Linked DNA regions of Ovis aries. The protein of the gene in region 1 purifies or fractionates together with the protein of each later gene. This does not show direct contact. Links are inferred from orthologs where the notes say so. Each region holds a gene or a part of one and is shown in the gene's direction. Other genes may lie near its edges.

The links. The genes of interacting proteins can lie anywhere in the genome.
Region 2: the proteins of CDH5 (region 1) and CTNND1 purify together in Homo sapiens (affinity purification with western blotting; 3 studies listed by BioGRID and IntAct, counting the BioPlex papers as one, with this or other methods). This does not show direct contact. The link is inferred for Ovis aries from reciprocal best matches to the Homo sapiens genes CDH5 and CTNND1.

Annotation. Positions count from the first base shown.
Region 1 is NC_056067.1:33,733,202-33,736,830, forward strand, and holds the end of CDH5 (cadherin-5), read left to right. Parts: intron 1-1,018; coding exon 1,019-1,533; 3' UTR 1,534-3,129; downstream 3,130-3,629. UniProt on the Homo sapiens protein: Cadherins are calcium-dependent cell adhesion proteins. They preferentially interact with themselves in a homophilic manner in connecting cells; cadherins may thus contribute to the sorting of heterogeneous cell types.
Region 2 is NC_056068.1:79,778,550-79,782,635, forward strand, and holds the start of CTNND1 (catenin delta-1), read left to right. Parts: upstream 1-1,238; 5' UTR 1,239-1,462; intron 1,463-4,086. UniProt on the Homo sapiens protein: Key regulator of cell-cell adhesion that associates with and regulates the cell adhesion properties of both C-, E- and N-cadherins, being critical for their surface stability.

The DNA of each region.
Region 1 (3,629 bases):
ACTCAGAGGGCCACCCTGGCTTGCCTATTAACAGTCGGTTAAGTAACTCCAGGCTAGAAGGACAGAGTCTAGGGAAGTTCTGGGCCTGCTTCCAGGAGCTCTCTGCCCCATGTGGGCTACCCCTCCTAGGGCTGGCAACCCTTATGCAGTCGCACCCCTCAGAGCTCTGGGCAGGGCCAACATCACACCACTGCCTGATCATGGGACTCTGGGCAAGGGACTCAGCTTCTCTGAGATCAGTCTACTTACGTAAAATGGGATAATAATACCGGATGAGATGGTTGGATGGCACCATCGACTCGATGGACATGGGTTTGGGTGGACTCCGGGACTTGGTGATGGACAGGGAGGCCTGGTGTGCTGCGGTTCATGGGGTCGCAGAGTCAGACACGACTGAGCGACTGAACTGAACTGAGTAAAAGAACGTGAAAACGTGCCACCACTATGCCAGAATGTACACAGCAGGTGTGCTCAAGAGTGGCTGCTGCTACTGCAACGGGAGCCACGTCCACCAGCACCGTCACGACCCACCATCGTCATCATGGCTCAGAAGCTTTGCACCCCAAATTCCAACTCCATCTTTTCCCCTCTTCTGCCCCAACCTATGGCCTCCTGGCCTTTGTAGATGACAGAGAATTCATCACAGAGCTACGAGGTGGGAGGAACTGAGGATGCAGTTAGATGGGAAGGAGAGTGGCAGGAGAAAATGAACTTGAGAGAAGGTCCACTGTGTTCCTCTCCTCCCAACCCTACTGTGGCCAGTGACACCAACAAGGATCATGCCCTGGGGTGGGGTTGGGATGGACATGACTCTGGGCTGGGAGTGAGGGTGCTGAGGGTGGACCCACCATGCGACCAGATGGAACCAAAGCTTCTGTGTTGGCCCACGTGCCACCGGGAGCTGGGCTCGCCCAGGGATGCCCAGGGAGGAGGGGAGGGAGCAGGTGGGCCTGGGGGAGGTGGAAGGGAGGGCATAAGCCTCCGCCCCGCCTGACCAGCTCTGGCTCACTGACCACAGTGATCACCCTCCTCATCATTCTGCGGAGGCGGCTCCGGAAGCAGGCCCGCGCCCACGGCAAGAGCGTGCCAGAGATCCACGAGCAGCTGGTCACCTACGATGAGGAGGGCGGCGGCGAGATGGACACCACCAGCTACGACGTGTCAGTGCTCAACTCAGTGCGCCACGGCGGGGCCAAGCCCCCGCGCCCGGCGCTGGACGCGCGGCCGTCCCTCTACGCTCAGGTGCAGAAGCCACCCCGGCAAGCGCCCGGGGCGCATGCGCCCGGGGAGATGGCCGCAATGATCGGGGTGAAGAAGGAGGAGGCGGACCACGACGGCGGCGGCCCGCCCTATGACACGCTGCACATCTACGGCTACGAGGGCGCCGAGTCCATTGCCGAGTCCCTCAGCTCCCTGGGCACGGATTCATCGGACTCGGACATTGATTATGACTTTCTCAATGACTGGGGACCCAGGTTCAAGATGCTGGCCGAGCTGTATGGCTCAGACCCCCAGGAGGAGCTGGTGTATTAGGGGGGCACAGGCCTCTGGGCCTGGGAGCCAGACCACTTGCAGCTCAGGCTAGTCGGACACAAGGCACTGAGGCCTCCAACTGTAGCACTGTCCCAGCCTAACAGCCCATCCTCGCAGGTCACAGAGACTTCACCACCTTGGTTGGCAAAAGCCAAGTTCCTGAAACGTCCAGGAACATATTTCAGCCATGGCTACTCCCCAAATGCTGGGAAATCAAGGCTGGTATGCTGTCTGGGTTGAGACATCCATATAACCCTGTCACCTGGAATCACCGGTCCAACTCAAAGATTCTCTCTGGCTCTTCAAAGCCGTTTATGCTCAGTTGCTGCAGGGGTTGGGGTGGGGGTCTTCCCTTGAGGTCCCTGAACCCCTTGGGGAGGCTGGGGAGGCCCTGGTGCCTGTCAGCCTGGAGGCAAAAGACTGGGCAGCATTACCGTGGGGCAAGACACTCTGTAGCCCTGTCCTACCAGAAACTGGGACCACCCATCACGCTTGTCCCACCTCACCCTCCTCACACGCTCCCAAGTGCCCCCGCATTCCTCAGCCTCTCCCCAGGCCTGTCAAGAGAGGAAAGGCCCCTGGACATCTCCCAGCCTTGGGTCCCGAGGTGACCTCGCTGGCCCGCTGTGCCTGCAACTATGCTGTACTGTGTATTGAAAGTCCAGCCAAGGTCATGGAAGCGGCTTGTTGAACTCTGAAGCAACTGTGAATTCTCCCTGGAGGAGCAGTGGGGAGCAAGTGTGACACCATATCATAGGGTGAGGGCCACCTTCACACCCACTCCCTCCGGAAGGGGCTGGGGGTCACTGTGACCCCAATTTGAGACATGACACCCCTCCAGTTTTGCCTGGGAAGCTGGGCAGGTGTTCCCAGAGCAAAAGACTCCTCCCCACCTCTCCTGGTCACTCGGTCATGCTCTTTTTTTCTTTCTGTCCATCTACTCTTGACCTCTTGGCATGGTGGCACTTCAGGTGTGACCCATGACTGCACAACAGAGCCGTGTAGTTTGTCTTCACGCCTCACTGCTGCCACATCTCAGGGAACCCCAGCAGGGCCCCCTCCCTGCAGAAGGCAAGGCCCCTGCTCAAGTCCTGTGGTCGCCTGTGTCTCTTCCACTTTCAGCCACATATGGAACTTTCCACTGCAGACACGTCTTGGGGAAAGGGCATCACTCAACAGGAGAGGGGAGAGGAGAAAGGAGGCAAATTCTCCAATTCACCCTCTGTCATGGACCAAGGCTCCTGCTGTGGGCAAGGCCCCTCAATTCAGGGGATTGTAGATAACACTGACTTTTAATCTTTAACTAATAACTAGGTTTTTTATAGTTTTTATACTAATAATACTTAACACACTTCTAGCTCTCACAGACATATAGAATAAGGGTATTTGCATAATTAGCAGGTTACTATTTAGGTTAACAATTTTATTTCGGGTATTTTAGTTGGATCAAGAAATTCCTGTAACCATCTGTTTCCTATCATTGTAGTAACTGCTCGACTAATAATGACTATATATATACATATATACAGGCTACACTGGTGCATGGAACCATGCTGTATTTTTTAAAATAACTAAATAAAGAAAAACCTTGAAATACGTCTCTTTCTAGAGCTAAGTGAGCTCATGAGAAATAGAAGCACATACATGCCACCACCAGCACCACCACCACCATCAGAGGAACCCAGAGTGCAAGGTGACACTTGCGGTCAGGACTTCAGACACACACTGTAGGAAAGTGACTGCAGCAGAGAATAACAAGAGACACCTCGTCCATCCTGGTCTCCTCCCAGAGGCCTGTGCCTTCCCTCAGCCTGCACATGCCCCCCAGTCCCACCCTGACTCTACACAACAGGCAGGGCCTCTGGCAGCTGAGCTGCCGCACCTTTTCCAAGTGGCAAATGGACCAGGTGGGTGAGATAAATCAGCAGTGAGGGAGGAAATCAATCTCTAATTAGCTGGCTAACAACACTGACTGAGCAGCTGGCACTTCACCTGGGTGTGTGAACCCCAACATTGACGTCCTGCCTGGAAATCAAAAATGAGAATAGGAAGCAATCAAAAACGAGAATAGGAGGCCTCCCTGACAGACTCAGGAC
Region 2 (4,086 bases), on another chromosome or scaffold:
TTTGGTAGCAGTCTTCAGATTTTTAGAGTTTTCAGTAAGAAAGAAAGAGGAAATTTTCAGTTTATCATTATCATTTTCATATAGTTAATGAAATAGTCTTTGTAAGCATAAAAAAATTTTCAATCTCTGCCCTTCATGGCCTAATAGTCTAAGAACATATTAAAGATAACTCTTAAGAGAAAAAGAATGCCTGTTATAATCCTTTATTTAGGTCAAGCATAAAGAGAATGCACGAACTAGACCTTCTTAAGCCCGAACTTCACAAATGAATTGAACTTTCTTGATGTGAGAGTTTCTTTTCCTTACATGTGCTGTTGTCTCCAAATATATCACTTGTTTATAGGATATCATTTACGATGCCCCTCAAGCCCACGTTATTTTGATTTGGGGCAAATGAGAAGACTGATTTTCTTCAACAGCCTAGTGGATTCAGCTTCCTTCTAGTTGAAATTATGTATGTGTGTGAAAGTAGCTCAGCTGTGTCCAGCTCTTTGAGACCCCATGGATACAGTCCATGGAATTCTCCAGGCCAGAATACTGGAGTAGGTAGCCGTTCCCTTCTTCAGGGGATCTTCCCAACCCAGGGATCAAACCCAGGTCTCCCGGATTCCTTACCAGCTGAGCCACAGGGGAAGCCCAGTTGAAAGTATAGATGCTAAAAATGTTAAGTCGAAGTATTTGTTTTTCTAATTAACTCAAATGCATTTAAACGAAGATAAAATTGAGGATTTACCTCAGATATCCCCTACCATCCCAGTCAACACACTGTAGCCCTCTTTCTAGTGTTGCTTGCTCCTTCCCTTCTTATCTTCCTGTGGGAAAATGGTTTGGGGTAGAAAGCAACAAACCAAATAACAGCAGGCAAATAAAATCAGCTTTTTTTCTTCCCTACCCAGAGAGGAAGGAGGGAGCAAGAACTCCACCATCAAAGAGAACCGTGGTTCTTAGGCATGCCGTTCTAGAAAGCCCTTGTTCCTTCAGCCCCCTTCCCCGACCCCTCCCAGCTCTGCAGTAATCCCTTAGAGATTATATAGTCTCCACTTTAAATATAAATATATATATAAAACTTCCCCCTGTCTCTTTTTCTCCTCCTCTTGCTTTTTTCCCCTGTTTCCTATAATAAAGTTTCCTATTGGATAAAATCAGCTCCCTGATTTATGCCTAGCTCCTATTGGAAGTTCTCAGGGGCTGACATCACTTAGGAAAGCGAGGGGGTAGGGCTGCCAGATCAGTTTGTCACCACCCAGGCTCCCTAGCCTTTGGCTGGGTGCAACTTCCATTTTAGGTGTTGGATCTGAGAGAAAAAAAAGGGGGAGAGAGAGAAAGAAGAGCCGGAAAGATCCTGAAAGGAGGAAGAGGTGGCGAAAAAGCAACTACCTTGCTGGATTTGTCTTTCTCAGCACGTTGACGGAGCCTTGGTTTTCTCTCTTAAAGAAGTGGTTTTCAGAAGTCCACATTTGAGGTGTGTGCCTTTTTAAAAAATATGTGTATAGACGGGTAAAGCAGGATAAGCCAAGTTGAATTTTTGTCTTATGGTAACCGAGGGAATTTGAAGACGAGAGGGTCTGTTATGCTGACGGGTAACTTTTAAACAATTATTAATTTTTCTTTCTACTTATTTGGGGGAATTTTGGTATTTTATCGTATTTAAAGCAAAGGGAGATATTCAAGACCCAGAAACAAACTTCTAGGTCTAATATAGGCAGATGAATAGATTCAGAGGGGTGAGAGCTGTTGCATAAATTTACATTTTGGTGTGGTCTTTGATTGTATGTGTTTTTTTTCTAGGCTGGGCTAACAAACTTCTGTTTTCAGAGCCCAAACCAAAAGTTGTTTTTTTTTGGCATTTTGTGTGTGGGTTGGGAAAGGAATTTGTCCGGGTCGGAAGCATACAGATGGTTCTTCATATGTTTCAAAACTTTTTTTTTCTGCCTTTTATCATTGAATTTGTGAAAGTGGAAAGTTGCAGGGAGCTTTGCAGCTTAAATAGTGATATTTTTCCCCTGGAGAGTTTGAACGGCTCAGATCGGTTTCAGCCCTGCTGTTCCTGGGTGGATCCCTCTTTTACTTTTTCAGGTGTGGTGGGTGGGAGCCTCTTTCGCCTTCTAGACTTAGCCTCTCTGCTTTGCCTTGTAAAAGAAAACAAATAGACCCTTGGTAACTGGATTGCCACCCCCTTCCTTCTAAAACTACCTTTGATGGCAAAGATTTGTGGAGGTGTTGTATGTTCAGTCTGCATATACAATAATGTCTGGTTTTCGTGCTTAAAGGGATAAGGAACCTCTAGCCATGCGCTTTAGCTCACCTGAGTAAAGTCGCACACAAGAGACATTTCCAGCTTTGTGCTCTCTGAAAGAGGCTGGGATTTAAAAAAGGTCAGGCTAAAACACTTAATACAGACCCTAGTGTTTAGGGTGTGTTTGGGAAAGAACAGGGGGAATTCTTATTTTTAAACCAATCTGAAAGTTGCTTTTTGGAGGTGCATTTTTGATTTGGTTAACTTGCTGTGAAACCAGAAATCTTTTAAGATCTGAAGGCCCATGGCTGTGCTTTCATATCTCATGTTTAATCTTAAGATCTGTTTTTGTTTTGCGCATACATTCCTGCAAAAATACTAGACGAGCATATAGCCGGCTCCTCGGTAGCTGAAAACTGGACGTTCCCTTCCTTCTCCGTTTGAAAATTCGAATCATCTGCAAAATTATAACTGCAATAGACACTGCTCTCATTGTGGCAGGATGGTCCTTAATACGTAAGCTGCTATTAGATTTAAACTGGCATGTATCTATAATAATCCTCTGATTCTGAACCCCCCACCCCACCCCACCCCTTAATTCTTTTCAGACTAGAACACTTCCTTGAATTTCTTTTCCAGGACAAGACTATTTCTTGAAAGATGATTTCATTCTTGTGAGGTTGTAGCTTCAGAGGAAACTGAACTTTGTCCCTTCTTTTAATCTAATTTATGCAAGGGCTACAGTAAGATTTTAATGTCTGGATCATCTAATTATAGCAAGTGCAGTTAAAAAGAAAGAGAAAGGACAATGTGTATATTTTGTGGGCTGTACTTACATCGTTTCCAAATTTTCGAATGCTCCCTTCAGCCTTGACTGCAGCCTAGGGGGGTTTCTTGGTGGATCTTTGGAGGATTGGTCATGTTGCTGCCAGAGTGTCAGTTTCCCACTCAGCCTTTAGGGGGAGGGATGAGGGAGTCTGAGCGAGTACAAAGGCAGTTTGAAAATGGGCTCTGGGTGACTGAGTGGTGGTGGTTTGGGTCCAGCTTTACACACTGGGCTTTGTATGGCTGCAGTGAGCATCCTCGCTGCAAAGCGTCCAGGACTGTCTCCAGGAACTGCGGCATTGTTGTGACTGGTGTGTGCTATTGGCCTTTTGGATGATAAGATGGAAGACCCGTCTTTTACCTCACCTCTGCTGGTTCTTCCAGGACATACAGGAAGAGTGTGAATAAGCAAATCTTTTACTTGTTGTTTTGCTCCTCACTTTGGTTTGGGGGTAGAAAATGACAAGTAAGCATGAGTTCTGCGGATTTTCCTGTCCTTGTTTGACTCCTCTGTGCTGTTGGTTTCTTTGTTATAAGACTAAGGTATGGTCTGTGTTCCAGGTGGGGGCCTCCTTTGGGTTTTTAGAGTCTTAATTCCTTTCTTAGGGTTCACTTTTGGAGAGCCAAAGGTGTTAGAACGCGTTCTTTCAGCTAGGATAAAAATGGGGACTGTTGGAAATCTCAAAAAGAAGCTCTGAGTAATTGCAATTTCAGCCTTGGGTTTATGAGGTAGATGATCTCTAGAGATGAGTGAGAGGATGGATGCAAATAAATTAAGCATAGATCATTCTTCAGTTGGAGTAACAACATGATTGGCTCGGCATAACCCCTCGCCTCCTGGCGCCCCTGCCACTGAGAGCCGGCCCTGCCTCTCCCACCCTCGACCTTGTTTTCTCAGTGAGTGCTAACCATTTTGCATGAACTATTAATTTCCTACAGTAACTTTCTGTCTGTTTTCTGGTTTATGTTTTGTTTTTTAAGGAATTTGAGCCTCAGAGAAGCTGAGGTTTGCTAAAAATTTCAGT